4 linked regions of the Rattus norvegicus genome follow. The protein of the gene in region 1 purifies or fractionates together with the protein of each later gene. This does not show direct contact. Links are inferred from orthologs where the notes say so. Each region holds a gene or a part of one and is shown in the gene's direction. Other genes may lie near its edges. The genes, in order: Ppp1r7, Ubxn2a, Sh2d4a and Ppp1cc.

What was found.
Region 2: the proteins of Ppp1r7 (region 1) and Ubxn2a purify together in Homo sapiens (affinity purification with mass spectrometry; 3 studies listed by BioGRID and IntAct, counting the BioPlex papers as one, with this or other methods). This does not show direct contact. The link is inferred for Rattus norvegicus from reciprocal best matches to the Homo sapiens genes PPP1R7 and UBXN2A.
Region 3: the proteins of Ppp1r7 (region 1) and Sh2d4a purify together in Homo sapiens (affinity purification with mass spectrometry; 3 studies listed by BioGRID and IntAct, counting the BioPlex papers as one, with this or other methods). This does not show direct contact. The link is inferred for Rattus norvegicus from reciprocal best matches to the Homo sapiens genes PPP1R7 and SH2D4A.
Region 4: the proteins of Ppp1r7 (region 1) and Ppp1cc purify together in Homo sapiens (affinity purification with mass spectrometry; 8 studies listed by BioGRID and IntAct, counting the BioPlex papers as one, with this or other methods). This does not show direct contact. The link is inferred for Rattus norvegicus from reciprocal best matches to the Homo sapiens genes PPP1R7 and PPP1CC.

What each region holds. Positions count from the first base shown.
Region 1 is NC_086027.1:101,329,998-101,338,070, forward strand, and holds the start of Ppp1r7 (protein phosphatase 1 regulatory subunit 7), read left to right. Parts: upstream 1-3,499; 5' UTR 3,500-3,561; coding exon 3,562-3,613; intron 3,614-6,099; coding exon 6,100-6,228; intron 6,229-8,073. UniProt on the Homo sapiens protein: Regulatory subunit of protein phosphatase 1.
Region 2 is NC_086024.1:33,620,148-33,627,637, reverse strand, and holds part of Ubxn2a (UBX domain-containing protein 2A), read left to right. Parts: intron 1-4,559; coding exon 4,560-4,701; intron 4,702-7,490. UniProt on the Homo sapiens protein: Acts to repress the ubiquitination and subsequent endoplasmic reticulum-associated degradation of CHRNA3 by the STUB1-VCP-UBXN2A complex in cortical neurons.
Region 3 is NC_086034.1:26,170,664-26,178,811, reverse strand, and holds the start of Sh2d4a (SH2 domain-containing protein 4A), read left to right. Parts: upstream 1-2,837; 5' UTR 2,838-2,879; intron 2,880-3,066; exon of another isoform or gene 3,067-3,157; intron 3,158-7,825; 5' UTR 7,826-8,011; coding exon 8,012-8,148. UniProt on the Homo sapiens protein: Inhibits estrogen-induced cell proliferation by competing with PLCG for binding to ESR1, blocking the effect of estrogen on PLCG and repressing estrogen-induced proliferation. May play a role in T-cell development and function.
Region 4 is NC_086030.1:40,042,323-40,049,812, reverse strand, and holds the end of Ppp1cc (serine/threonine-protein phosphatase PP1-gamma catalytic subunit), read left to right. Parts: coding exon 1-138; intron 139-2,600; coding exon 2,601-2,705; intron 2,706-3,455; coding exon 3,456-3,679; intron 3,680-3,873; coding exon 3,874-4,008; intron 4,009-4,751; coding exon 4,752-4,841; 3' UTR 4,842-5,694; coding exon of another isoform or gene 5,695-5,765; 3' UTR 5,766-5,991; downstream 5,992-7,490. UniProt on the Homo sapiens protein: Protein phosphatase that associates with over 200 regulatory proteins to form highly specific holoenzymes which dephosphorylate hundreds of biological targets.

The sequences.
Region 1 (8,073 bases):
GGTCTCTCTCATCCTTTTCTCTACGTTCCCTATCTTCCTTCTCTTCTTGTGTCTCTCTCTAGTTATAAATTCTTTCTGACTCCTTAAGTAAATCCTGTAATGTATACCCTTGTAAATTCTCTAGTCTCTGTAGCTTAGCCCTGATATCTGGTGCTGCCTGCCAGATGAAGGACATGGAGACGCTTGTCATTTGTCCTGGATCATCTGGGTCATAAGGGGTATACATGCAATAAGCAGATGCATGGTTACAGGGATTGGTGGATTCAAATGAGGCGCATAAGCATGGTCACACATAATTGGCTATTTTACACGATATTCAAATGAGGCACAAATGTATAGCTACACACAATTGGCTGTTTTAAACATATTCAAATGAGGTTACAACATGGTGAAAGAGTACGTGCAGGTTGGGGCGTCTAGAATGTCAGGGGCTAGGGGCTTATCTCTTCCTGCCAGATGGCCTGTGAGTCAGATCCGATACTCCTGGTTTGTTCTGCATTCCTTTCCTTTTATGGTCTGTTGGTGTGTCTGGGCATGTCTGGGCTCGTTCAGGCCTATTTCAGCACTGAGTCTGTGGATCTTAAGACTTATTCTTTTACGTTATATTTGTGGACCTGAAGCTCATTTTCTTCTGGGGGGGGGGGGGGTTCTTTCACTAGGAGAGCCACTGTTAACCCAACTCTTTAAAACCAGTATGTCCCAGTAATACCAGAAGCAAAGAACAAGGCAACACAGGCCCAAAGTTTTTCAAAATTACCATCAAACAGACTCTCTTCAAACCAACTGCAAAGAAAAGCCACCTTCCTGAGAGGCTCCCCTGCAGGGCCTAGTCTATCCACACACAGAAACACCAAGGTACACAAGGACTACTCCAGGCCAGCATGGCTCAAAACAGAAAAGGCTGGAAAACTAGACAGCTAAGAAGCCAGGTAGGCAAGAAGAGAGGAGAGAAGAAAGAGGGAAGAGAGTCAAAAAGAAAATATACCTTAAATATTCATCAAGAAGAAAGGAACTGTGTGCAAGAACCAATCTTGGCAGTACGCGGTGAAAACCTTCAAATCCAAAAGGTTTATCTGCAGCAAGATTCCTTTAATATGAGAAAAATCTAAATACACTGCTTAAAAATATACACACACAGGATAAGAGTCCAACAGGACTGAAGACTCACGCTTCAGGCAGACAGTCCTCGTGAGTCTGGCAGAGCACTTAATATGGAGGCAAAATGACAGTCTCCTACTTCCTCAGTTAGTTAGGTGGGTTTACATGTGTTTGTTTTAACTGTTTTAATACATCTGTGTGTGTGTGTGTGTGTGTGTGTGTGTGTGTGTGTGTGTGTGTATGTGAGAGAGAGAGAGAGAGAGAGAGAGAGAGAGAGAGAGAGAACACACACCTATGTGTGGAGGGCAGAAAACAACTTTAAGGAGTCACTTCTTTTTACCACATGGGTCCCAAATTGTCAGACCTTGGAAGCAAGTGCCTACTCATAATACTGGGCTCAAACTGTAAGACTTTGTTTCCTTTTTTTTGTTTGTTTGAGGCAAGGTCTCCAGAGGCACTGGAAGTCTGGGAAGACACCATCAGCCTGATGGTGGTATTTTTGTGTGAAGCTAGGTATCAAACCCATAGCTCGCCACCTGTTAGGCACATCCACCACTGACTGATGAGGTATGACTCTTTGCCTTTAGTATTCTGCACATTCCATACACGGGCACATGCACCCCATATGTGATCCCAGAAAGCAACAGCTCATTACGAAACAAGATTAGCTACATAATGTTCAAGGCTGTATATGACACCACCAGGCTTGAACAAAATAAGGATGGGTAGGAGATAGAAGTTTTCATGTAGAGCATTTTAATGTCACAGATGTACATCTTCTCTAGGTAGCCAAATGCACTAATAACTGCTACATCAAACAGTGATACGACCATACTGGGTTTTTTTCTATTTTTAAAACCACCCTACAAAGAAGGTTAGGACATTTAATCACGGCTTCTAAATACACTGCCAATGTCACAAAATCTTACCTTTGTTTTTTTTTTTTTTCAGAATTTGTATAACTTCAGAATATACTGTTATAAAATCTTAATTTATATTAAAAAATTCTTCAAACTAAATTGTTAATGCTACAAATTTTTATCTTAAAAGTAATTACAGGGGGTTGGGGATTTAGCTCAGTGGTAGAGGGCTTGCCTAGCAAGCGCAAGGTCCTGGGTTCAGTCCCCAGCTCCGAAAAAAATAAAAGAAAAGAAAAGAAAGTAATTATAGGAACTGGGTGGCTCCCTCTGTTAGAAGCTCTTGCTAATGCAAACGTGAGGACCTGAGTTTAAATCTTTAACCACATAAAAAGCCAGTCATGGCCGCACGTAACTGCAGTCCCAGCATTAGGGGGTGAAGATAAGTGAATTCCCCAGAGCTCACTGGCCCGCTACTCTAACCTTAAAGCAAAGCTTCCAGTTCAGTCAGAGACTTTCGGGCGCTGGCGGCTCCTGAGCGCGGGTCAAACGGCCGGAACCCGCCACCACCCCGGGGACCGGACCCGGCGGAGGGAGTGCGCGCGTGCGAGGTTACGGCTACTCCACCTCGACGCAGAACTGAGCCACGCAACCACCCGGGGCTCCTTAGAAAGCTGGTGTCTCACCTGAGGCCGGCGCAACTCTCAGCCGGATTCACACCGTAAAGATCCGCGCGCTTCTGCCCCACCGACCAATCGTAGGCAGAGTAACAAGGGGTCAAGAACCAACCAGACACCTTGATGGGCGGGCCTCAGTGAAAGCAAGCTGCTGAGCGCGCGCAAACGGTTGCTAGGGACGCGCTGGACGTCCACTACAGTGCCTCGGAGGAGCCAAAAGAAACTGGTTTCTCCGGCCCCCTCTCACCCCTATCACGCCAAGTGACTGCAGTTCACTCCTACAGCGGAACCGAGGACGGTGAGCGACGTGCAGCCCTCCTTTTGGCGGCCACATTCTCAAGGCGAGGACGATGAGCAGAAGCGGACGATAAGGTGGTTCTCTGTGGGCCGGAGGCGGCGAACGCGCGCCCCCGAAACCGAGCCGTGGCCTCTCTCCCCTTCTCCAAGCATCCGCTAAAGGCAGCACTTGGCGCCAATATATCAGCGCGCAGGCGCGGAATAAACTGTTCTCCCTCGCCTACCTGCTCACGGTGCAGACACACAGCATTGAGGCTCCGGAAGTCGGGGCATGTCTATTCTGTTTTACCTTTGGCCTGTAGAGCTCTCCTGGCCTCAGTAACTTTACGCCTCCGAAGTCAGCACAGTGACTTGAGCGAATCTGCAAGCTTGAAGTGTCTCCCATGCTGCCTGATGACTTTCCGGGATGTCTACGTTCGCCGTGCTCGCCTAGACTCCACTCATTCATCAAACCCCTAACTCGGGGGGGGCCGGGCCCTGGGGAACTACAATTCCCATGAAACACTGCGACCACGCAAGCGTGTCAGCTCGCGCTTCTATACTTTGTTCCATTGGCTGGCCGACTGGACCTGGAATCCTGATTGGCCCATGGCCTGAGGCGACAGATTCCGGAAAGGGGAAGAGCAGCCAATATGGCGGCGGAGCGCGGCGCGGGGCAGCAACAGTCGCAGGAGATGATGGAGGGTGAGCGGCCCCTGTGGGCGACCCGGGAGCGGCGAGCTGGGGGCTGGGCGGGCACGGCCTCTAGTCGGATCGGAATTCGGCCTCCGGCCACAGCCACGAAGCTCTGACAGCTGCCAACATGGCTGGGCAGTGCCGGGGAGGCTCGGAGACGGGAACCCCGGCCCGAGAGCGGTAGCGGCCAGAAGGACCATACCCCGGGGAACAACGTGGCGCGAGCCCGCCCAGGGGGATTGGCGAGAAAGCCGTGGCTATAGGAACCTGGTCTTAAAGCTCCGAGATTGACAGGCGAGGGGGCAGGGAAACTGAGGCTTCAGGCGTGGGGACTGTAAAGTCCAGTTTGTTCACGCGGCATGGATGGAAAAGAGTCTGCTCTGGAAGCGAATGGGTTGTGGCAGAGGGTCGGGTAAAAAAGAGCTCCGGAAATTGATTTTACAAGGCGTTGTCTTATTTTTCTATAGTCTCGAAAAGACTATATTCAACTTTCTTCCTTCAGTGTGTTGGATTATGTCATCGTATACATGTGTAAATACACATGTAACACATGTATATGCTTTTGTATACAGTTGTGTAGATACGTGATCGTTACATGCATGTATGTGAGTGTATGTATTCACACAGACTTGTACATATGTACATGTACTTGCCCCACCTGCTGTAGCATTAGGCGAATCTTAAAAGCCTTTGAAAGACTCCTCTACTTCGGTGAGGATCGCTCACTTCTGGAAGATCACTCACTTTTCGGGGAAGAGTGCTAGGAAAGAGAGTTGCAGAGCAAGGGACAGGGATGTGGAAGAGAAGAGCGGTGAGTTTGAGAGCAGTGATCCCTTTCTGAGATGGGCCCTGAAAAATGACTAGACGTCACCCAGCCTGGGGTCACATGGGGAAGACCAGTATCATTCCAGAGAAAGGAAACCCAGTCAAAAGCAAAGGCGTATGGAAACATGACCTAAATAAAGTCATGCAATGGGGAGTAAGGAGAGCCAGCAAGGCTGCCCAGAGAAGTTCTTAGAGAGACTTGAAGGGAGTCATCCTAGAGGTCTTTTGTTTCTAACCTTTGACTCTTTCTTAAGTGAGGAAATGCTTCTTCTGTCCCCCTCTTCCCTCCTCCAGTACACCTCTCCCCTCCCTCCTCAGTAAAGGGCAAATACAAAAGCCAAGCTTTTCCTCTCTTCCACTCCCACACATGTCATTACCAGCTGGTACTTAGGTTTCTATGGCCCTATGTCTTTTTGGAGATTCGGAGGGTGGGAGTGTTGTTTGGTTTGGTTTGAGAGCCTGGTTTGGTTTGGCCTTGTTGTTGTTTTGTTTTGTTTTTAAAGACGGCCTGTGCGGACCAGGCAGAGCATGTTTTGCCACCTTCTCTATCACTGCTAACCTTTACTCAAGCCTTCCTCCTCTTGATAGAGTTCATTGCCTTTTTGCTAGCCTGTTATACCCAGAGCCTCACAGTCACATTCTTGCACATTATCTCAGGCTCTGGAAGCTTTCTACTGCCCTGAGGATACAGGCACAGGGTGCACCCACTCTCCCTTCTATCCTCTGGCTCCTCCTGAGGGAGGTACAGAGCCTCATTTCCCTAACCCCAGATCACAGGATGTCCTCTTGGTAACTCATAAATTCTCCTACATGCCATAGGCATGAGCTACTACTGTTGTGCCCTTTCTCATTTGGTCCTGAAAGGGGAGGGTACTCTACTAACTCTTCTACAGAGATGAATATCAAGGTTTAGAAAGGATGATCATTTGCCAAAGCCACATCTCATTGCTGCTTTGTTCATAACTCGAAATCTGTTTATTTACTCCAAAAACACTTTGCATTGTTAACTCTGCCCTGTGGTGGTTTAACACCAGCAGTTTGCTGGGAGCATCTGGCGTTTTTGAGACCATCTCATTTTCATTCATTCTGCCCACTGTCTGATTTTAGCTGGTCTTGATTTCTTTTTTTTTTTTTTTTTTTTTTTTCTTTTTTCTTTTTTTCGGAGCTGGGGGCCGAACCCCGGGCCTTGCGCTCTACCGCTGAGCTAAACCCCCAACCCTTGGTCTTGATTTCTTTTGGAATGTGGGGCCTGAAAATTGAACCAGTTTTCTTGGCCAAATGGATAGTGAGACATCAATGAGGGTATGTGGCAGAAGGGTTCCTCTTGTGGTGGACATAACGTCAGATATGAGAGCCGCCTGGAAGGAACTTCAGTACCTGGTGTCAATAGTGTTCCCAATCGTAGATGATCCAGATTTCAGAACACTTGTCAATTCTTGACAAGCTCTTAGAGGGGAAGAATGACATATTAATTGTCTTCATGTGACCTCCCAGTTTCTGTCCCTGTATCTTAAATATTATTGGATGTGGAAGACATTCAAATGTTCATAAAATGAGTTCAGCTATTTTAGAAAAAAGGCTTGCTGACTTACAACTGTTGTTAATCTCTTTTGTGTTCCTCAAATTGTCACATGAAGTAGATGTGAATTGTCACTGATGTGTGGGTTCAGTTGACAGGCGTGTTGAATCTGAAGAATCAGGTGATGAGGAAGGGAAGAAGCATGGCGGTGGCATCGTGGCAGACCTCAGCCAGCAGAGCCTGAAGGATGGGGTAGAACGGGGCGCAGAAGATCCGGAAGGTACTGGGTTTAGTTACTTTGAACTCACCCAGCAGGGCAAGGGTGCTGTTGAAGAATACTGCTCTTTGTACACGGTGTCTCCTCACGGCAGTAGTGGTTTTCCTCAAAGGGTCCCCATAGATTGGGCAAGTGGGGATGCTGGCAGAGGGCTGCCTCAGCAAATGACGGAGTTAGATTTATGAGTACAGTGGATCCATTTCTGCTGAAGGGACAGTTCCAGTACTGATGATGTGTCACCTAGAACAGAGCCAGAAAGTGACTTTTTAACCCTTTCCTCAGAATAACAATTTGAAGAGAGCATGGCCGAGTAGTACTCTGCTTCTGTATCCTGCCGCAGTGACAAGGAATCATTTCTAATCCAACTTCAACATTTCTTCTCTGAGACAGGGTCTCACTGTCTAACCCTGATTGGTCTTGAAATAATTATGTGGACCAGTCAGGCCTCCAACTCAGAAATCTATCTGCCTCTGCCCCTGAGTGCTAGGATTAAGGGTGTGTGCCACCATGACCACATCCACCTCAACATTTATATGGTCTGAGCGTCCCCTGTCGCAGCACAGATGTTGGATAGGAAGTCACTTCATTTGTATGGTCTGAGCGTCCCCTGTCGCAGCACAGGTGTTAGGATAGGAAGTCACTCCATCTGGAACTGGTCTGAGCGTCCCCTGTCACAGCACAGATGTTGGATAGGAAGTCACTTCATCTGGAATGAACAGCTTCCTCTGGTGGTTTTATGACCTCCTCAGCAGTGACCCATGCTTAAGTGTTTGCGTAGAAAATTAGTTTTCGTGGAAAAGAATAGAGAAGACATGAACACAGAAAACTGTACGAGCTGAATTGTTAAGTTCAAAAAATATGGTATTTAATTAAAAATGAGTGTTTAGTTTTACCTGCTTAAAAAGAAAACGCCATTAGCATTGAGGATCTCTTTTAGCAGCAGGCTTGAGGGGAAACTCTGCCTCTTACATTTTCCAGATCTGTGTGGATTTATCAGGTATTCATAATTATGCATTACCTTTATAAAAATAAATTTGAAGAAACATAGCTACTTTTTAAAATAGCATTGTGCACTGTGTGCCAGCAAAGATGATTGGTAACTATGGTAACCAAATTTTAAGGCAAAAGGAGATTACCACAAAAGTACCTACCACAGTTAGTTTGGAACTTCGGAGCTGATGTCTGGAGGTGATGTGGGTGGATAAAGCAAACGGGCTCTGTCACCATTTGACAGTCACTGAAGGGCTGAGGTCTGTGCCACTGAAATATTAGGCAACCCTAAAAGACTTGGAGCATAGAACAGTATGATCCTGGGCTCTGTTTCCTGGCTAATAATGTTATTGTGATGGGACACTCATTGTAAGAAGACTCTAATGTGTGAAAGATGAGGAGAATAAACGCCCAGTGCCAGCAAGAGAGCCCTACTGCAAGGCAGGCTGATTGGGCTAGAGCCCAGCGTGCTTACAGTCCAGCTTGCTTACCTCCAGATGATAGAACATGTAGTAATTCTCTGGGAACATGAATTTCTAGTCCTCAGAGAAACTGGGACTGCTCATAATTTTTTTTCCCTAAGTTTCAGCAAAACATGTTTAAATATGTCAGTCATTACCTCCCTGTATTAACCTTGTGTGTATGTGTGTACTTGTTAACATCAGTGAAGTGTATGTGTGTGCAGGCATGTATATGAGTATGTGTGCATGCAAATGGCAAAAGGCAGTGTCAGAGGTTGTTCCTCGGGCACCGTTGGCCTTGGCTCTCACTGGTCTGGAAATTGCTATTTAGGCTGAGCTGACTGCAGCAAACCAGCATGCTCCGTCCTCTCTGGTGCTGGGATTACAAGTGCACCAC
Region 2 (7,490 bases), on another chromosome or scaffold:
GAATGAATTAATGTTCATATAAACATAAAAAGTGAATTAAGGGTTGGGGATTTAGCTCAGTGGTAGAGCGCTTGCCTAGGAAGTGCAAGGCCCTGGGTTCAGTCCCCAGCTCTGAAAAAAAGAACCAAAAAAAAAAAAAAAATGAATTAATCCAGCTTCTGTAGTTCTTTCCCTTTGCTAGTCCCAAATAACAACACAGAGATACCAAGATTTATTTTAGGCGGGGCTGGGGATTTAGCTCAGTGGTAGAGCGCTTACCTAGGAAGCGCAAGGCCCTGGGTTCGGTCCCCAGCTCCGAAAAAAAGAACCAAAAAAAAAAAAAAAAAAAAGATTTATTTTAGGCATCCCCTTGATACCTAGGCAGTAAAATCTAAGCTAATCTGGCTACTTCCCAGCCATGCTCCCAAGTAATAGTTGCAATTAGGGCTTCCATTGTCCAGCTGAACTCTTAATAACTTTCTTCCTCCCTATGACTAGTCCCTCTCCCCCTCCCCCTCCTTGATAGATGTTCTGCCCTAGTCTCTCTTCTGCCCAGCCATTGGATGATTACAAACTTGAGACTTGAGATTCTCAGAATAAACATAACAAAGCCCTGTCCAGATGGAAATCAGATGTAAGGACAGAGAAATCAGCATTTGAATAACACAAAGATAACCTTTGCACAGTACACAAAAATTGGTTTTCAAGGCGGGATATCTAGCCCTGGAACTTGCTCTGCAGTCCGCGCTGGCCTGAAACTCATAGAGATCCCCTGGGATTAAGGTGTGCACCACCACTTCCAGCTTTACTGTCTTTTAATTTTCATGGCCATTTGTGGTGGCATTTGCATCTTGGCTTCTTCTCTGAGACCCTCTCACAGTAGCCCTGGCTGTCCTTGAATACTGTATGTACTCAAGGATCACTCTGAAATTCTGATCTTCCTGTCTTTATTATCAAAGTACTGGGATTCTAGTCATGCACCACCATGACCCAGGGCTTTGTGAGTGCTAGGCAAGAACTCTACCAACCAGCTACATCCCAACTCAGTATCTGCATCTAAGAGATGAGAAAACCAAATCATATACATTCTAGTTTCTTAGTGAGAGTTAGTTTTTCTTGTTGTAACTAAATAAAGGTATCTAAACATGAGCCACAGAGCCTGGATCTACTGCTAAATACCTATATTGACTAACGAGAAAATCATGGACTATCGTCTCACAGTGCAACTGTTTCTATGTGAGAAGGATCTCGTGCCATTGTTCTGGGAAGGTACAATAGTAATAATAATAGTGTGTACACACACACACACACACACACACACACACACACACACACACACACATGAAAGAATGATCTGGGGAGTAAAAAGAATCTAACTTAAAGCATTGCTGTGGGTATGAACCATCTCATCAGCCACAACACCTGCCATGTGTTTGTTTACTTGTTGAGCTAGGGTCTCAACTACTTCCCTGGTTAGCCTGGAATTCCTTTGTAGACCAGGCTGACCTGGAATTCACAGAAACCTGCTTGTCTCTGCAGAGAGTGCTGGGATTCACTATCACTTCCCTGCATACCTGGGTGATGGGGATCAAAACTCAGGTCCTCATGAGTGAGCTATGTCCAACTTAGCTATGTCCCCAACCCTGAGCACCAACATTTTAATAACAAGATTGATGACAATTTGAGAGACTGTCTGACACAGTGGTAAGAGCAGAAGACTTGCATAAGCAAATTACTTAGCCTTTTCCTCATCTGTTAAGATTAAAATAACACTTTCTAGGGCCGTTGTGAAGCCTGAATGAGTTGGCACATGTAAAGTACTTAGAATAGATCTTTATAGAGTATCGTGGGTAGAAGCACAGAAGAAAGGCAGATTAGCAGCAGAATGAATAAGTGTATTTTACAGTTCCTAACAGTGAGAGGTACAAAATGTTGATATTTCATCACTTCATACAAATCTTGTGCCTAACTTCCAAAAGCTCAGAATCTATTTCTTATAAGTAAAATCCTAGATAATGTTTTATATGATGAACTACAAATTCAAAATAAATAGCAACAAAAAGCCAAGTAGAATGGTACATGCTTATAATTCCAGTATTCAGGAGATAGAGACAGGAGAGTCAGAAATTCAAGGCCAGCCTCAGTTATATAGTTTGAGGCTAGCCTGGGCTACATGAGGTCAGTTTGAAAAGCAAATAGAAAAGAAAGTGTGCTTTTAAAGTGATCATTAGTGGAGAATATCCTTGTGAGTGTGCAAAGAAAGTGCCTAACCTGCCATGGTCTTGGTGGGGGCAGAGTGTCATGGTTCCAGTCCTTGGGACAGGGCCCAGGTATTAGCTTCCATGAGTGTTGATGGCTACTTTGGGTGTAAGGCTTGTTTGTATGATAATTTCTTTCATGTTCCTCTGAGGAATGTCTTCTCTGTTAACACTGATGACTCCATGATAATCAGAAACAGCTTGAGTCAGGGAGTCAAGGTGTGGCTAATGTTTTAGCAAAATGGTAAATGCTGGGACCTTCAGGACAGCCCTTAAGGCTGTGGCAAAGAAAACAGGAGTTTGAAAAATCTATAATTTCTCATTTATTCAAAAATATAAGGATGCAATATGAATTATGAGGAGCTTCACAAATCTAAATAAACAGGTAATTACACTATGAGCCAGCTTGTCAGAAAGATACAAAGACAGGCTGGTTCCTAAGTTCAAGGTCATTTTGAAACGCTAGGAGTCCAGGCCGAGGTGTGGTAAAAATGGTAATTTCAGGGCAGGGTCCCACCCAGTTATCTATCTTATCTGTCTGACTTATCCCTGAATTCTTGCAATGTTAGAGAAAACTTGCTTGCTGTCTCTTAAGAATCAAAGGACTGGGGTCACAGGTGCTGTTCATAGGATGGTCAAAAGGGAACCTGGGCTACATAACTGAATTGATATGGACATTAAAAACTGGCCTTTGGTCTGCATGAGTGCATGAGATAAGCTAGCAGAAAGCGAGTGAAGATTTTAGAATTTTTCTCTGGAGAGAGCTGAGCTGTCTGGAAATGTCTGGAGAGCAAAAACAGCTCTTCAGTAATTTTTTTCTAACAGGATTTCTGAGAGAGAGAGAGAGAGAGAGAGAGAGAGAGAGAGGGGAAATGTTTTGGGGGTGGAAAAGAGAGAGAGAGGAGAGAGAATGTGTGTGTGAGAGTGAGTGAGTTTGGGGATGGGATGGGGTGGGAAAAAAAAGCTGTTTTGAACCCTTCAGAAATAACATACTTGGTTTGACTGGGCATATACATTAACTATAGGGTTCTTGCTTAGCATTCATTAGGCCCTGCGCTCAGTCCCAGTACCATATAAGCCCAGCACTTGGTAGATGGAGGCAGTAGTAGTTCAAGGTTATCCTTGGCTACATAGAGAGTTTGAGTCTAGTCTGGGGCATATGAGACCCTCCCAAAAATAAAACATCTACTTTTTTGTGCTTTTGGACTTGTGTTAGACACTGTCTTAGTCAGGGTTTCTATTCCTGCACAAAACATCATGACCAAGAAGCAAATTAGGGCGGAAAAGGTTTATTCAGCTTACACATTCACACTGCTGTTCAACACCACTGGAACTCAAGCAGGTCAGGAAGCAGGAGCTGATGCAGAGGCCATGGAGGGTATTTCTTACTGGTTTGCTTTCCCTGGCTTGCTCAGCTTGCTCTCTTAAGGAACCCAAGACTCCCAGCCCAGGGATAGCACCACCCACAAGGGGCCCTCACATCCTTGATCGCTAATTGAGAAAATGCCTTACAGCTGGGTCTCATGAAGGCATTTTCTCAACTGAGACTCTTTTCTCTGTGATGACTTCAGCTTGTGTCAGGTTGACACATAAAACCAGCCAGTACAGACACATTTGGCATTTATAAAGATATTTTGGGCTATTATAGCACTTTAAGTGGAGATTCGTTAACAAATGTTACTTTCTACTGAGATCTTCCTTAAAAATGTGTTTCCAGAGATTTAATTATGTGTCTGTAGGAATGGTGCCCCTGTGTGCAGCTGCCTTCAGACACAGAGTAGAGCATCACGTCTGTGAGCTTTGTAACAGTTGTGGGCTGCCACGTGTAGGTCCTTTGGAAAAGCAGTATGTAACCCGCGAGCCATCTTTCTAACCTCCTATTGACCTCTTTGATGTGGTAAATGTGATAGCTCCCTTGTTGCCAAGTGACAGCCTGACTTTGACCCTGGGACACACGTGGTAGAAAGAGTAAACCAGTTCCCGTAACTCTCACAAGTTGTTCTCTGACTTCAAGTGCTTCCACACATGAGCACATTTACACACACTCATGAACATAAATACTTTAATAGTGAACATCTAGTTTGGGGGCTCTTAAATTAATTTTTAAGTTACTAAGTAGTGGGTTTATGGTGGCATTTTCATACATATGCATAACTGTATTTTGTTATCATTTGTGCCTTTCCACACTGTTTGATATCAGTACTGTATGGCCTGCTAGAGATCCTAAAATACAAAAGATACCTTCCACAGCAAAAGTTAGCCCTCCCCAAAGATTGATTAACTTAGAGCTAACAACACTTAATTTTTTTTTTCTTTTTTTAGGGTTTGTGAAACAGGACCTCCTGACAATCAACCCCTCAATGATAATCCACAAAAGGACTGTGAATATTTTGTTGACAGCCTTTTTGAGGAAGCAGAGAAGGCTGGTGCCAAATGCTTGTCCCCCACTGAACAGAAGAAACAGGTGAATATCTGATACTTATTGGCCTCTAGGAGGATCCCTGAAATCAAAACTACTTTTGTAATAGGAAAGCTATTTTTCACCCTTTTCCTCTTGTTAAATTCTCACAGGTGCCAGAAAGGCAATGGTAGGTAATGCTGCTGAAATCTGAGCAGGAATCAAAGCAGTCACTTCAAACTGACTTACAAATTATTGTGTTACTTGCTTGAATATACAAACCAAGTAATAAATGGTACTTTCATTTAAGAATATCTGTGATGAGCTAAGGATGTAGCTCAGCTGGTAAAATGCTTACATAGTAAACACAAAATCAATGCCAGCACAGCATAAACGGTGCAAAGTGGTCTGCATCTGTGATCCCTATGCTTGGGAGTCAGGAGAACTGAAGTGACAGGTTGTCCTCAGCGAGGTAATAAGTTCAAGGGTAGAATGGAAGGACGCTAGGGAGATGACTGTCAGAGACTGGTTGCCATGTAGACCTAAGCACGTGGACCTGAATCTGGACTCCCAGCTGCCACGTAAAAACTACAAGACTCATGTCCAGGGCTGGAGAAACAGGGACACAAGAGGATCCTTTTGGCTTGGTGGCTAGTCGTCTAGCTGAATTGGTGAACTTCAGGTTCAGTAAGAGATCCTGTCTCAAAAACTAGAGTGGGAAGTAGGGAGGGATGGCTCACTGAGTAAGGGCACCTGCGCCAGCCAGGTCCAAAAATCTGCAACCCACATGGTGGAGAGGACTGACTCCCTAGCTGTTCTCTGACCTATATACACATATGTACTCCAAATGTTTTGTTTTGTTTTAGATGTATTGTATGTGTTTGGGTGTTTCGTATGAATGTGTGCGTGTGTGTCTGCTCACAGAGAGTATGGGTTATCTGGGGACTAGATGTTTGGGAACCACCATGCAGGTACCAAGCCAGGCACTCTTCAAAATCAACAAGTACTCCTAACTGCTAAGCCAGTTTTACAGCCTGATTTTTTTTTTTTAATGTTAAAAAAAAGATAAGCTAGCAATTGAAGAAGACTCTGACATCAACTTCTGGCTTCCACATGCACACATGTATACGAGCTCATTAGACTTAGCAGGTGCTTTCACAGAACAATTAAGTAGGAAAATAACTTATGGTATTTGTTACAAATGCAAACGTTTTATTTAGTCAACTTTTAACTACAACAAGAATTTGAGGAAATTGCTATCATGCACTTGACAGCTTTTCAAACTTACAGTATTTCCCCATGAGGTTAGTGTTATTTTAGTAAATATAATATGTATCATAATGGACATCCATTAGCGTTTAGATTCACATGGCTTAGAGAACCACTATTTTCCAACTGACTAATTCATATGTTATTAAAAAGTCACGCATGAGCTCAGTGTGGTGGCACAGGCCTGTAAACACAGAACTTGGCCTAAGGTAGGAGGGTCTTAGAGTTCAAGGCCAACCTAAGCTATTTAGTGAGCTTTATACCAAGACCTTGTGTCAAGGGGGAAAAATTATGTATGAGTAAAAACTCCAACACATATAGTACAAAGGTGGAAGACTTTAAAGTAACAGGTATATGAAAAGACGGAGAGTGAATTCAGATTTCACATTCAGATTCTCAACTAACTTTGAGATAGTAACACTTATTAAACCTTGATGAACTCTCCATATCTAGGAAACATTTTAAAAATAACTTTGTAACTGCGTATCTATATAAGGTTTGATTCTTTTTTTTAAAAAAAGTATTTCAATTATAATACCAATTATAAGAATCCAACTGACTTTTTAAAGACCGACACTAAGAGGGTATGTGGAAAAACTCTAAGTTTTTTAAGAAAGGGTTTAGCCAAAGCTGGTCTTGAAGTATTCTGATCCTCCTTGCCTCTGCCTCCTGCACACAAGGATTGTAAGTATAAGTCAGTGTGGGTTGATGTCAGTATGTAGGTAAGGGCTGGCACCAGTTAGGTCAAGGCCATGATTAGACAGTAATAAAATAAGACAGGGACAAAGTTTTTGTAAGGCGCGAGAGAGGGAGAAGGAAAAAGAATCAAGATGGAGACTGAGAAAGATGACCCAGATCCAGGTGGTCTTGAATTGCCAAAGTAGTTGGTATGGGTTTCTGTAGGCAAATTTATCTTATCTAGGTGGGCGGTTTATATCTTTAACAATTGGTTGTAAGTTTATTGTGTGGATGCATTATGGATTGATAATTTAACATATAAACCTGATTGTTGATTGTTGGGTTATAGTTTGTTGAGTCATGATTTTACCAGGTAACTGGGACCAGAGAGTTCCTGGATGGCCAGGGTGACTAGCAATGAGAGTGGAGAAACCACTGGGGCTAGAAGATAACTAGGCTAATGTGGCATGGTGCCAACTGGAACCAGCATCACTGAAATAAATTAATGTTAGTTCTATATGGCCCTACAGTGTCAGAACTAATGCCAGGGAGTGACCGCCTGGGTCCAAGAGTACCAGGGGACCAGCATGGAGTAGTGACACACAAGAATCAGTCACGCCTATTTTTTATTTGTACCGAAACATGTCAGCATGTTTAGTTTTATACAGAGCTGGGGACCAAACCTAGCAATCATCCTATAGACTGTGCTACATTTCCAGGCCCTTTTAAAACTTAAGTTTTATCAAAGTAAGACTAGGGGGCTGGCAAAATGGCTTAGAGGGTTAAGATGCTTGCTGCCAAGCCTGATAATCTTGAGTTCAGATCCCTATATGCTAGGAGTGAACTGACTCCCACAAATTGTACTGACTTCCACAGCTCTATGACAGACAGCTCAGCAGGCAGGTGGA
Region 3 (8,148 bases), on another chromosome or scaffold:
AACAACTGAATGGTGGATGGATTATTTACTGAAAAGAAATAACAGCTTCATTCACAGCCTGGACAGCCTGTGGTACAGACTCTGAGAGAAGGATCCACCCCCTCTCTTTTGACAGGATCGCCTGAAGTACTTGTTTGACATGCAGGTGCCACGACTCTGCAATGTTCTATTTCTTAGCTCTGGGCTGAGGCCTAGGCTCGGAATTTACATAAGCTATTTCAGTGTTTAAATAAGTCGTAAGGGTCATTTTCGATACATGCATACTAATTAAATTTAGCTTACTAAGAGGGTGCATTGGTTATCTATTTCTGTGTAAGAAACTACCTCCAAATTGCTAACTTACAGTACAAATGGCCTGTCTTTAAGTGTACAGATGAGGAATTTGAGAGTGTCTTAACTGAGGAATATCATGGATTTTCAGTGAAGCTACATGCCAGTATTGTAGTTACACTGCTTGACGACAGCTGAGGACCTCCCATTTAGTCTGTGTGGGCTTGGCCTTCATTTTTTGGCCTCTCTGGGTGGATCTCTCCAAAGGATCACTTGATATGGAACTTCTTATCTCTCAGCATGAATGTTTCAAGGGTGTGGGAGACAGAGCGGGAAGGAGTAGGGATGGCAGGGAGGAGACAGAGCTACAGACAGGACAGAGCTACAGACTTTCCTTTCTCATTGTTTTTAGATATGTTCTCACTATGAATACAGGTTGGCCTGAAACTAAGTAGCTCACAACGGTCTTGGATTGCTGTCTTTCTATTTCGGCATCCCGAGTGCTGGGATAACAAATCTTTGCTGCTACCACACACTATTCTGGGAAACAGTGTACCACCACTTCGGCTGTGTTCTACTGAGCACACAGACCAATATCTGGTCCAGCAGTGGCCTCCACACTTTAACAAGGATGATTGGGGACAGCCTCCATCCAGGTAAGATAGGAGACAAAAATTCATAGCCATGCTATAAGATGGTAGGAACATGCAATTACAGTATACGATGTGGAATAATATGACCTACTGTGTTTGAATATTACATGCCAGAAACGGTTCTAAACACTTTGTGCAAAGAGCCTCTATCCATTCAATAGTCTTTGGCACGCAGTAAATATTCAAACATATTAGAGCCAGCCATGCACTGAGCACTTTGCATGCAGTATCTCACTTAAGGCTCACTAGAGAACCAAGCAGCCAGGCACGGCTGCTATCCTGAATGGGAAACTGTAAGGCTAATGTAAGGGGGTGGGGGTGGGGAGTTGTTATCGAGAAGGGCTTGTCAGGACTTGGAGACAGAATGAGTAGGGAGGAGGGCACCCAATGATAGCATCAGTGTCCCATGGGCTTATGAGGTGGCTGATGGCCCACTTGTACAGCTTCTTAGCTTCCAGGGAGTGTGAGGACACCTGCTGAGCAGATACTGCTGCTAGGCAGAGGACAAACCATTCTAAAGCACCTCATCTGGCCACCTGATTCAGTGCTGTGGAGAGAAAGCTTTAAGCCAGGAATCCTTGCCTGAGTGTATCACAAGCACCATTCCTAAATGGCTAAGTCTTGTTTCCTCAGAGTGGAGGGTGTAACTCCTGCCTGTAATGTTTTCCAACTTAAGAGTTTTTCTGGAGGAGTTAGGGGAGGGACTGAAGGAGCTGAAGGGGCCTTATCTGGCATCAATAGGAGCCTGTGAAGGCTCAATGCCCCAGTGTAGAGGAATGCTAGGGTGGTGAGGCTGGAGTGGGTAGGTGGGTAGGTGGGTAGGGGAACACCTTCATAGAAGCAGGGTAAGGGGGCATGCAATAGGGGATTTGCAGAGGGGAAACCAGGAAGGAAGATAGTATTTTAAATGTAAATAAATAAAATGTCTAATTTTAAAAAGTTTTCTGTGGTTGCGAAAGCCTACGGTAAACAACGTTTGGGTTCAGCACGTCAGGCTCCTAAATCGATTGGATAGGGTGTATAAAGTCACACCATGTTTCTTGTTTATAACAGTGCTCTCCAATCTCCCCAGTCTGAACTCCTGTGTCATCCCTCCCCACCCCCACTCATACACACCCCCAGCCCTGTTTTCTTCCACACATGCCCAAGGTTCCTCGCCTGTGGAAAAGGCTGTTCCACTTTTCCACTCTGTTCAGCTTTCTCCCCTCCCAGATAAGCTTAGGCTTCAGCAGTGCCCTGTGCCACCCTGGTCCTGATCACAGGGAACTTCTACCTTTTTTCCCCTCAGGTTTCTCTCCCTGGCTGCCCCTTTCCCTAGAGCCTGCAACATTCCAGTCTTTCTCTTCCTTGAACATGCCTTAAGCCACACCTGGAGTAACAAATGCTTCAGAGTTTGATAATTTACTTAATGTCAACAAAAGAGAAGGAAAAAGTAAGCTGTAGAAACGCAGTCACAGAACTGCAGCCAACTTGGCTGCAGGACCCAGGTTCCCAGATGGACCCTGCCTGCCTGCCATTGCAGGCTCCACCTAACAAGTCAAGTGTGGACAATTGTAATTAGTAAGTCCCACAGACCCCCCCTGAGGTGTCAGGGCAAACTACCCCAGACTGTAGACAGCACTCTAGATTAGCCAAGGACTAGTGGCCTTGCTGTCACTGGACCAAGGCAGCCAAGCCTTGCCTACTGGCCCTGGAGCGCCTCCAGCACCCGGGAGGGGCCTTGAGGGAGCGCCCAGTCAGTCACCCCAGCATGTGGGCGCGGCGGGGCGGGCCAGGGCTGTGATCTGGACGCCGAGTGTCCTTCTGGGCCCGAGTGTTTGTCCAGACAGCCCGCGCGGCTGGGTCTCTGCGCGGCTGGGTCTCTCTGCTTGTCCTCCCTTCTCTTCCTGGAGTTGCTGTAGGCAATCTGGAGGTGGCGGCGGGTGCTTGGACCACCTTGCCCCGGGTCCTGAGCAGGTAGGTGACCGGGTCGGGTAAAACGCTGGAGCATAGAGCCAGGCAGAAGGGTGAGCGAGGAGTGGGAACCAGGAGATGCGTCTCTAGAGCGAAGGGTGAAGCACAGAGGACAGGGAGAGGAAGAGACCCTGGTTCCCGCGGCCAGGCTGCTCACCTGTCCCTCCGGTCCCTCCTCCACGGCGCTCAGGGCGAGCTCAGGTGCCCAGAGGAACAGACCACAACGGCTGCGGGTGTCCGATGTCTCGTGTAGGGTGTCCAGTGTCTGCAGCCGGGTCCAGGTGAGTGGCGGCCCCAAGAACAGAGGGCTTGTGATCATTATACTAAGAGTCTCCAGAGGGAGGAGAATCGGAGGCGACTTGGAGTCTTTCAGGAAAGTTGTCCCGTCCGGGCTGTGCATGCACACGCGGCGAGTGCTAACTGGCCTGGGGCAGGTGCACAGCGGGGGCCACCTGCGAGGGTCTGAGCCACGAAGAGGGTGCTGGGTGTCGGCTACAGTACCCACAAATCAGCGGAGGTCCAATCACTGGGCAGTGCCATGTGGTCTCCTGGCCCGGAGACCTTCCAGACAAGAGTCCTGAAACCGGTTTCAGCACAAGCAGAACTCCATTAGTAAGTTCCCCGCGCTCCCGCGGGCGCCCTCACGTGGTACAGAGAGCAGCGGGCTCGTCGTCTCTCTGTGGTTCTGGGTCAAGGCTCAATCTAGAATCAGCCTAGCCAGAATTTTCCTCAACAAAAGTGAGCCATTACCAACCGTTCCTGCCTTAAGGGGTTCATGGGCCCTAGGTGGAGGCACTCAGTGTTTATAGGTTTTCTCAATGTCTCTCTTTGCTATGGTCCCAGAGAAGCAGGGATGACAGCCTCTTGCTTGTGTAAAGAAACAATGTATTTATAATTTTTCTTATTTAATAATAAGTGGAAGAAATACTTAGGCGAAGATTTAGCACAAATAGGCTTTTCTAGGAATATCTATCTATGAAATACTTCAATCTTGAGAGTATTTACAAAACTTCCAGCTCCTCTCACCACTTGCAATTCATTTTGTTTCCAAAATCATCATGTAAATTAATAAGAAAAATATTGAGCAATTCAAAGCCTGACAACAGAGAACGCAAACTAAGTTCTTACCTTTAGGGATATATGTACTGTAAATACAGAAATATTTTAATGAAGGTAGTTGTACCCAGAGTTTAATTATTATCATTATTGTTATTATTTATTAGGCTCTGTATTAATTAAAAACAATTGTGAGGAAAAGTGGAAAGTGTGAAAGTCAGACAAGATCTACAGGTATCCTGAGAACTTAACTAAATTTTGGACTCTTCAGAAATTTTTAGAGTGAGTGACAGGTATGGGCTTGTTCCCTGCTAGTTGTCTTTTTCAAGAAAAATGCCACAGGAGAGGAAAAACAAGTTAACTGGGCTGTACTCTGTGTTGGACCACGAGTGACTGCACTCAGTATGAGACCCACACATCACCAAACAGTGATTGTCCGGTAACGTGAAAGTAGGAAAACCCCTGGCAGGTTCACTTCCTCCTTTTCATTTCCTGTACTTGTCTCAATAGCTTCAAGGCAGATTTTATCTCAGGATCCAAGAGCTACAATGATCCTCAGGTTAGTTTTATGGATTAAGAAACAGGGTCTAAAGATGTGAAGTGACCTTCCAAAGTCATGGGTCACTGGAGGCAGAACCGGGAATCTAAGCTGGTGAACCTGTCTGTAGCTGTGCTGTGGTCTGCTCTAGGAAAGCCTTGGAGAGCTGGTTAACTGACATCACTCAGAGCCAATCAGCAGTCCAGTTCGGTGCCCATAGTCAACAGCCACAGGCACTTGTTAGCTGGGTTTCTTTTGTATTCCCTGAGGCCACCAGGAACCACGGTATTTTCTTCAAAAGGGATTAAACTGGCCCTGGTGGTTAGGGTCTATATAATCCCAATTATTTGAGAAATAAAGACAGCCAGTGTGGAAAGTCAAAAGCCTGTTTAGGCTAGGTTATATTAAAAACTGGCCTGGACAATTTAGACTCCATCTCAAAACATAAAGTAAAGGGGGCTGGGGGTGCAGCTCAGCAGCGGAGAATTTGCTTGGCATGTGCAAGGGTCAGGTTTAATCCTCAGACCACAAAACAAAACATGCCAACCAACCTTGATGCTTGAAGTCTATGTTACACAAGCTACCCGAAGCAAAGCAGAACAAAGAAGAGAGTTGCGCACCTCTTTACTGGAGTACCAGGGAAGGGAATGTTGGTGGAACAAGGCAAGTGGAGAGTAAGAGGAAGACAAAGTCACCACTGGACCAATGCGGGTAGCAACTCTGTGCTCCTTCCTGGATGGTGTATTTTCTTCTGTGGCCTCTCTAAGCTTATCTACACTTGATTACCGTAGGCTTCCGCACTAGCTGAGGTATCTCCAGTTTTAAAGTTCTCTTCCCAAGGACATTTTCTGATCTTTGTCCGGAAAATTTCAAAGTGGCACCAATCACTTCCTGATTCTGGACTCAGGAGTAAACTTGTAGCAGCCAGTCTGTGCAGTGGATACAGTAACTGCTGTGCTTCCCCCTCACTGTCTTCCTCAGTTCCTCTTGGCACTACAGTGGAAGGAGTGAGGGACTTAACTCTTGCTGAGTGCTTATGGTAGTGCAGGAAACAGTTAAGTGTCCGTTCTGTTATCAGAGAGCGCCTGGAGCCAAATCATTCCTGGAGGAATGTGCCCTTGGCTCTTTGAGGGAGTTAATTTTCAGTTCTCTCTGATCCTTCAAGAATATTCACTGGACAGAAGGGGGGCGAGAGTAGAAGGTGTAGACCCCATCAGCTGGGCGTGTGTGTGTGTGTGTGTGTGTGTGTGTGTGTGTGTGTGTGTGTGTGTGTCTGTGCTCTTCAATGGGCGTCAACCACTGCAGCCATGGAATCATTTCTGGATGATTCCTGGAATTTCAGGGAGTCATTTGCTTTGTTTACTTTACTCGTTTACCTCAGGACCTTGAAGTCACATGTGCCAAAGAACCAGATTCTTCCTGTGGGAGAAGAATGTCTTCCGTAAACCCTTCCTTTTGAGTGGACTTGGTTTGCTGTATTCCCTGAGACTGTGCTAGAACCAAAATACCACAAGACATTGACTCTTCACTGTATAACCCTTTGAAGACCATCCCAAGGCAATATGGAAGCTTAACTAGGGGCCATGGGAGGGATATGCCTGTCTGAGTTACAGTCAAGATACTAATTTTAACACTGTTTAACATTCCTCTTAATATCGTGCTCCATTTGAACTCCATAAAAATGGTGTGGAAGAAAATAGGGTGCGGGTAGGAACCTGCAGGGCCCTGCTATGCAATGAGTAGTGAATCCAAATGCTGAGATGTCCTGTGGTACCTGACTACTGAGTGCGCTGTCTCAAAGGACTGTTGTTCAAGAGGCTGCTTTACAAGGAAACGGAGGAGGGAGGGAAAGAGAAAGGATTAAGACTCAGAAAGACAGGAAGAGGCAGGGAGAGTCAAGACTACAATAGTCAGGATGTTGCCCGGTAACTGTTCTCAAGTTTAAGTGTGTATTGCTTTCTATGGGAAATCAAGGTATTTGAGTGAGCACGGACAGAGGCAAGATTTTGGAAGCATTATAGGCGTAGACATTGTAGTTGACTTTTACAACATAGATGAGCCTGAAGACATGGCTATCCTAGGAAGACTTGTGTTGTCCTATGACATTTGAAACAAATTAAATCTCTTTTCTCCAGAATATATAAAGAATATATATTGTGGATAGACTGCATGCATACACATACATGCATATATAATACTTCTTTCTATTGATAAAAGTGTATGAGTTTGGGTCTGGGAAGGTGGATCAGTGGGTAAATAAAGCACGAGAATCTGCATTAAAGCCTCATCCCAGTGCCTCTGTGGTGAGAGGAGAGATGGAGACAGGAGATACCCCAGAGCTTTCTAGTCACCTGCATGATTGGTCTACACACGGCTGAACAAGCGAAAGAGAAATCTTGTCTCAAAGAAGGTGGAGGGCCACAGCTAACACCTGAGATTGTCCCCCGTGACACACCTATTTGTACATACATGCATGCCATGGACAAACACAGAGCCCGAAGGTTTGACATCTAAAAGAATCTAACTACATAAAACTATGTGAAATAAACCGAGACTCCGAAGGAGCTGCCACCCCTTAGCTCAACCCCCGTGACACCATGTGTGCCTCATTCCACAGCCTCTTTCTGAAGGAGCCTCCTGACAAACTTTTAAGTCAAAGACAGAAGCCCGTGGCCTCTTCTCCCTCCTGCCCACAATATCTGGACTGAAATGTAAATGTTACTAAACTAAGTTATCTGGAAAGGAGACACCTAAGAGCGCTGACCCTCCAGAACCCTCATGTTCTCTTCTGCACTTGTTCTGCTTTCCTTGTGTGAGCTGCTGGGGTGTCTGGAAATGCCCATTGTAAAGGAGAAGGTACACAGTTGTACGTAAGACTGTGCTCTTGCTCTTAATTACCCCCCCCCCCTTTTTTTAACTTGTAAGATGGCTCTGCTCCTCTAAAAGTGTCTCAAACGTGATATTTTCTTTTTGGAAGTAGTCACGGAGGAGGGTATTTTAACTTTCCCTGGTGGTCCTTTGCTATTGTTTTTTGTTGTTGATTTCTTTCAGCCATGCTGTTGGCAGCCGGGAGGCACTGGGGAAATAATGTGTTTGTTCAGTTGGGAGGAGGCCAAACAAACCTCTGTTAAATTTCTATTTCTCTGAAATCAGCCTGTACAAAGTTGCTGTTTTTTGCAATAAAGTATCTATTATGGAACAGAGGTTATACAAACTTATAGCTAGACACACCTGGGCTTTCTCCCTCTTTGAAATGGAAAACTATATTGTATTTCCTTCTGGCTTTCTTTACTAGCCTGCTCCTGTCCAGAAACTACATATTATACTCCCTGATTTGGACTGTTGCTCTTCGTAGGTTTGTCCACGTTCACTGACCACGTTCCACTCTGCTGAATTCCTGGGGCGGGAGTCATAATTGCTGGCTGTTCAAGTCTCTGGGAAGGTGTAGGGGTGGCCGAGCTCCTGGCTGCCGGGAAGCAAACCTACAAGTCGTTTCCAGGAACTTGTGCTTCAGGTGGAGAAGTTCTTGTGAGCCGCAAAGATGCTGAGGCAGATACTGTCGGAGATGTTCATAGACCCTGACCTGCTGGCAGAGCTCAGCGAAGAGCAGAAACAGATCTTGTTCTACAAGATGAGAGAGGAACAGATCCGGCGATGGAAAGAAAGAGAAGCAGCCAT
Region 4 (7,490 bases), on another chromosome or scaffold:
TGGACAGGGGCAAACAGTCACTAGAGACGATCTGCCTCTTGCTGGCCTACAAAATCAAGTATCCGGAGAACTTTTTTCTTCTTAGAGGGAACCATGAGTGTGCCAGCATCAATAGAATCTACGGATTTTATGATGAGTGTAAGTACTTTGCCTCTGAGGAGGAGGGGCTGGAAGGCAGTGGGCGGCAGGCCTATGAGAGTCAGAGCTGCTGCGGCACTCCTGCTCATGTCCTGGTTTTAGGGACTGCTGCCTGCATGGGTGCTGATGGGGTTGGAGGGGAAGAGTCTTGGTGGCGCACATGCTCTTAGTGCAGTTCCGAGAACCTGTTGGCTCCATTTGCTCTGCTTTTCACAGCTCTGATTAGATTGGTTCCAGATAGCACATCTGTTGGAAGCCTGCGGGTCAGTGGCCTGGGAATTGAGAACAGGGCCACAGCCGCAGGGAGTGCTGGTCTGCTCTGCCCAGCCTTGTCTGTGGGTGGGATCCTGCAATGAAACGATTTGTTTTTGAAATGGACGGTGTGGTTTTCCTGTAGTGCAGCTATATTTAGGAAAGGGACATCAACTTTTCTGGGATAAGCATAATGGAGAAAGAGATGCTTTAAAGCCTACATTTTCATTTCGAGTCTGTCTTTGGTGTTGAATGCAAGGATGGAGGAGCCGGAGTCTCTCTCGTGCTGTCTCCACCTTGACTGGGGCTGCCACGCTGGCACCTCGAGCATCCTACCTCCTCCGCTACTGCACCGTTCCCCAGCTTTGCCTGCCATCCATCCACCCATCCATCCATCCACGGTTTTTTTTTTGTTGTTGTTTTTTTTTTTTAAGATTTATTTCATGTATGTGATGTCACCAGAAGAGGGCATCGGATCCCATTACAGATGGTTGTGAGTCACCGTGTGGTTGCTGGGAATTGAATTCAGGACCTCTGGGGGAGCAGTCAGTGCTCTTAACCGCTGAGCCATCTCTCCCCCGAGTTTTATTTTTAAAATAATACTTTGTGCATATTCTCATATTTGGGGTCATCTCACGTTACTTTTTTTCTGAAATGTTCTTGCTGAGTAGCCCGTGTTGACCTTAGCCTTGGTCCCAGTTGTAGCTTCCTGACCTGGGGTGGGGGTGTCAGCCACCCACCCCACACAGCCCTGGATTATCTAGTGAAGCTGTGCTCTGAGTTCATCATCGAGAAAAACGCTTCCAAAGCCTTAGAAAGAAGTTGGTGTGGAAAGAACGAAGTGGCTTGGTGGAGAGCTTGTGTTACTTCACATAAACATAAAATGTCACAAGTTTTGAGACTTTGGCTGCATTGTCCTCCGGGCTGTTTCTGCCGGGAAAGGGTTTGGGCTGGGATGGCAGGTGCTTACGAGTTCGTTGGCTTAGCACTTGCTAATGTACACACATGCAGGAGCTTATAGTTAGGGCTGCCCATGTGTCCTAGACTGCGGCAGGGAGCTTGGGTAGTCAACATGGAGTCTTCTCAGCTCACACACAGAGCCTTAATCCAGCCCTCAGGGAAGAAAGGCATGAGTGATTGTCCAGACACTGTCAGCAGAGAATGGGACAGGACCAGATGGACTTTGGAATGGAGTCAAGGCCGTCTGGCCTCAGTTTCCGCATTGATGTTATTACCATTAGCTATTGGTAATTGGAGGTTGTTGGCTCTGTTCATTTAAGTTTCCAGAATTATCCAGGGAATCTGTGACCTCCTCAGAGCTGAAATGCAAGCTTTTACAGGGAATGATGATCTGAGTGCTTGTGGGGGTGGGGGTCAGGTCTGCCCAGCTTGAAAGGCACGGCTTAAGAAGGCTGTTGCTCTCCAAGGAGTAGTCTAGGCCTTTAGATGGCCCTGTATCCTCCGGTAAAGAAGATAGAGTCTTAGTGTAGGGACAAACACAACATGGTGGTACGTGAGTGTGGGGTGGCCCAGGAGACAGAGGCTCCCCAGCATGCACAGTCCTTGACCAATTAAAGAGAATTTGGTAGTTGCTATGGCTTATGAGTGAGTTGTGACTCAAACAGTAATTTTTTTTTTTTTTTTGTTCTTTTTTTCGGAGCTGGGGACCGAACCCAGGGCCTTGCACTTCCTAGGCAAGCGCTCTACCACTGAGCTAAATCCCCAACCCCCAAACAGTAATTTTTATACAGTGGTTTTAAAGGGGACACATTCTGACACCCTGTTATAGCCCTGGTGCTCAAGGGAGTGTACTGAGTGCAGACTGTATGTTAGGACTGAACACTTGGACCTCCTGGAGTTGGAGTGGGGCTTCTGTCTGGTTGCAGGAAGCTTCAGAGCTCAGGCCCCTGCAGGAAGAAAGAGGTGACGGACCTTGAGGATTTGGTGGCGGTTGCCTTCAGAAGTCACAAGTTTCCTCAAGGTCAAGATTAGACAGAACAAATGAGACTTCAAATAGATTGGGCACTGCCCACTAATTGTGGCAAACTGAGGTGTGCCCCTGTCTAGAACTCTATGGGAACGTATTTTGGTTGCTTCTAGATGAGTCCTGTGTCCTAGACCCCTGAGGCTGTAGGGCCTGTGGGGACCAGCATGTTTGAGTTACTTGAAAGGTGTGAAGAACAGTGGGGTGACCGTCTGCATTCTCACAGGTAAGAGAAGATACAACATTAAGCTGTGGAAAACGTTCACAGACTGTTTTAACTGCTTACCGATAGCAGCCATCGTGGACGAGAAGATATTCTGCTGTCATGGAGGTATGTGGCTCTTTCACCTGTGCAGCTTCCCCTGCTTCTGGAAAGTCAACTGGGCATGATGGCTTTGGCTGGGCCACTGTTGCACTAAGGCCTGTTCACAGTGACACAGCCAGGTCATGTGGGTCAAGCCGAGGGAAATGGGTTCTAGGTTGGGAATCGACTGTGACCTTAAATACAGAACGAGCCCTGGTGCATCTGCTCAGCCGTGTGTTGCCTGAACCCTTCTGGGGGGTGGGGGCGGGGTCTTTCCAAAGCATGGCTCCATGGCTGTGCTGTGTGGTAGTAAAGGGGGTGGCACTAGAAATGAAGCAGCTATCTAAGAACCATAGAGTGTGTGTGGTGTGGTCCCCGCTCTGGTGGATGGGCACAAAGAGAAAGGGACTCTGGCTGCTCAGACAACAGATGGGAGCTGCCTCACATCTGGACGCGTTGTCCCTGTGCCCAGCCACTGCAGTTGGTCAGGGTGGTGCCTGCCCTGTGTGTTTTCCTTGCTGCCTTCTGTTGGGAGAAGTGTGGATGCAGTGGCTGGGTGTTACAGGGCTCTGTGTTGAGGTGAGTAGTGTCTCTGCCCTGCACATCAACATCAGTACAGTACATTTCCTGAATTATTTCCCCTAAAACCAAGTAAAAAACCCACAGATGTCACGGCAGCGCAGCGAGGCAGCACCAGCCTCTGCAGCAGGAGGGGCTGGCCGCATGCTCGTGCCCATGCCGTTTGTGCTTTAGGGGTTTTCCTTTCTCGTTGAATAGGTTTATCACCAGATCTTCAATCTATGGAGCAGATTCGGCGAATTATGAGACCAACTGATGTACCAGATCAAGGTCTTCTTTGTGATCTTTTGTGGTCTGACCCCGATAAAGATGTCTTAGGCTGGGGTGAAAATGACAGAGGAGTGTCCTTCACATTTGGTGCAGAAGTGGTTGCAAAATTTCTCCATAAGCATGATTTGGATCTTATATGTAGAGCCCATCAGGTATTGATTTTGAATTTTACATGTACACTTAGAGCATGTGTGTGAGCAGATTCTCCTTGTTGATTTTGGTGGGTAGGTATGGCTTGCCACACAGTGTGCCTCTGGGGAGAGCCGCAGGAGGCCAAGCTCAGTGGGGAAGGAGAATGGAGCGGCTCAGGCTTCCAGCTGCTCACACTGACGCTGTCTCTCCACAGGTGGTTGAAGATGGATATGAGTTTTTTGCAAAGAGGCAGTTAGTCACTCTGTTTTCTGCACCCAACTACTGTGGCGAGTTTGACAATGCGGGCGCCATGATGAGTGTGGATGAGACCCTCATGTGCTCCTTCCAGGTGAGACTGCAGCAGCTTTGCTGACCTCCCGAGGAAGTTCTTCCTGTTGTTTCCTGAGCAAGCTGCCCATTCTTCTTTAGTAGCACATTTGTCCCATAGGAGTAATGTGTGGGCTCAAGAATTCTTAAGAAAGGAAACAGGGCCGTTTTCCCAGCATTGACTTAGTGTAATTGAATTCTTAGTGTGTGAAAACAAGCAATGTGTTGTAGCTTTAGTCAGTGCTTTTGTTGAGAGGAGGGAGTTGGAGTGGCCCTGGCTGTCCTGGGACCCACCTGTAGACCAGGTTGGCCTTGAATGCAATAGAGAGTCATTGCCTCTGCCTCTCAGGTGCCAACATGTCTGCTTGTGCTCCGGTTCTCACATTCCCTCCCCAGAGTGAGCGGGCTTGATCCACTGCTCACACAGTTGAAAATGTTAGTGCAGCCGTGGCAGTCCCAGGGCAGGCCTCAGCAGTCCCCAGAGACTGCAAACCTCAGTGCCTTCCACGGAGCTTCAAGGCTGAGGGAAGTTGTAGGCTTGAGTTTGTCACGTTGTCCAGGCAGACACTGTTGTCCAGGTCACACGTTCTGCCTGTGCATCAGGCGAGTCTCCGCTACGGTGCCCAGGTGCCGGTTGGGTCAGTGTTGTCCTAGAGGGGCTTTCAGCACTGGGGCAGCATCAGACAGAACCTCGGGATGGGAGCTCTGAACAAGGCTGAGGTCCAGGTATGGCTCCTAAGGTTCTTGGTTCTTTCCTCTTCTCAGATTTTAAAGCCTGCAGAGAAAAAGAAGCCCAATGCCACGAGACCTGTCACACCGCCACGGGGTATGATCACAAAGCAAGCAAAGAAATAGATGTCACTTGACACTGCCTAGTGGGACTTGTAACATAGCGTACATAACCTTCCTTTTTAAACTGTGATGTGTGCTGGTCAGCTTGCCCAGGTAGACCTGTCGGGCCCTCCCTTCTCCATTTTGATTATTGCTGGCACTTGCTGGTTATAGCAGCAAGTGAAGCATTTCATTCTCAAGAAAGCGGTTTGTTTTGTTTGTTTTTAACCTCTGTTCCCTTTGTGGACAGCTCTGATGATGGTGTTAAGCTGTACACCTTGGCAGTTTATCCTGTCCGAGGGGAAAGTGTACAATTGATCTTTTTTTTTAAATTTAGTATGAATCATGAATAATGTAAATGCTTGTTTTCTTTAGGATATAAAGAGAGCCCTAGGGTGCGTGAGTCTGTACATGTAATTGTCATAAATGCATTCTGTTGATACAAACCACTGTGAACAGTTTTTCCAAGTTTGTTTGACAGGGACTGCTTTCCCTCACTGTCTCATCCTGTACAAACTAGTGTCTGCAGCTGTGGCAGCAGGAGCAACCTGCCACCCTGCCACCCACACTGCCCAGGCTGTCTGAAGCACACTCCCTCCCACTGCACACTTAACTGACGATTAAAGCCATTCTTTTCAATGTCTGTGATTCCTTCCTAAAGCCAAAGTTTCTGTTGGACTGTATTGGCACACCCTGGACATGAGGTGGCCAGGGCACCAAGGCTGCGTGCACAGGCCGCCTCCGTGGGGACTCAGAAAGAAGCAGGTTATTTTAACTAGCAATAGTGATGTAGTGCTGGGTAAGCTATTAATGGTGGAAGTTAATGAGACATTGTACAGTGCCCATATAGTCTATTCACTGAGTAATCTTTTTACAGTTGGATCAGGCCTGAACCCGTCCATTCAGAAAGCTTCAAATTATAGAAACAACACTGTCCTATACGAGTGATCGATAATGCTTTCTTTGGCTACATTCTTTATTCTGCGGTGACATTGAGGCTTATAAATCAAAAGGAACTAACTTGCCGTCCACCGGTTTATACAGAACTCACAGTATCTATGACTTTTTTAAACTACGACCTGTTAAAATGAATCTGTTTCCACAGATGCCCGTGTACAATGCCATGTGCTAAGAATGATTTCAGACTTATTAAATGCGAGCTTGTTAACCTGTCCGTGTATGTCTGTCTGTCATCGGCCACTGAGTCCATTTCTGTCTTTCTATATGCACGTGGTTTGGGAGGGGCTTGGCTCATAGCTGTGTGGCCTGGAAGGAGGGGGCTGTCTTCCTAGGCACTCCCCTTCCAGCACGCTTCCTTCAGCTTGAACCTGAGGTTCTGTAAACTTCGAGGGAGGAAGAGAAATCTGAGCCATTGATTAGGTCAGAGGCCACGAAGGGCGTCAGCCCACAGTGGTGGTTGGCATTCCGTCACGGCATCCTGAGCAGAGAAGACAACGTGGCGTTGATAGTCTCCCTCCTCTATCTCTCCGCATGCTGTAACCCAGGGAGCCCCTTTCTCTCAGCTTCTGGCTCTCCAGCTGGGTGAGTGGCAGAGCCACAGCCCTGGCAAGTCATAGTTGTGAGGGTATGGGCGTCCCTGCTGAGTTAGACCTACCTGAGCTCCTCTGAGCTCACTGTAGCAAGTCTTCCTGACACCAACATAAAAAGGCACAGAGGGAGGTCATAGTTGTCCCTAGATGTTGAAGTAGTAAATGTCAAAACCTGTAGAAACTTGTCTGAGACAGTGCCATTCTGTTCATGTTCACAGCAAACATGCAAATGTACCATACATGTGTAGCACACATACCCCCCATTCCATGAACAGCATACATCTGTGTAACAGGTGAAACTGGGGGGCAGGGAAAAGTGCTAGTCCAGGAAGAAAGGACTGGGTTCAGAGAGAAGGAAGCAGAGCCCGGCTCCCAGTTGGGGCCAGCCCAGGTGACTGATGGCACACCTAGCCTCTACCTGCTGGTAGGTAAGAGCTGGCTGAGTATCATAGGGCTGTCGGGTTAGCTTGGGGGACGTGGGAGTGGACTCTTGAGCCTGTGTAGGATGGGTTGGAAGGAAGAAGGCAAAGGGCTGCTCCTGAAGATGTCAGGGAATGTCTGGGTGGTGAGGAGCACAGGGCTGGAGGTGGGCAGGTAGGCCCCCTGCTCCTCACTCACTCAGGGTGGGGTGCACAGCTTCCTGTAGCTCAGGCTCTTCTGAGGGCCCTCTTGTGGCCTCTGTGGGGTTCTACACTGACGCACTTATATTAAAAAAACTTAATATTCTATATGTGAGTACACTGTCACTGATCAGACACCTGAAGAGGGCGTCGGATCCCATTACAGATGGTTGTGAGCCATCATGCTGGGAATTGAACTCAGGACCTCTGGAAGAGCAGCCTGTGCTTTTTTTTTTTTTTTTTTCAGAGCTGGGGACCGAACCCAGGGCCTTGTGCTTCCTAGGCAAGCGCTCTACCACTGAGCTAGATCCCCAACCCCGCAGCCTGAGCTCTTAACCTCTCAACCATCTTTCCAGCCCCATTTTTTAAATTTTTAATTGAAAGAGAAGGCTAGGTTTGAGATGCCAGTGGCCTCTTCTTGGAAGGTAGTTGAAATTCATTGTTTACCTGCCAATGGACCAGCCAGCTGGTCTGCATGGTGACATAGAAGAACTCAGCTGAGG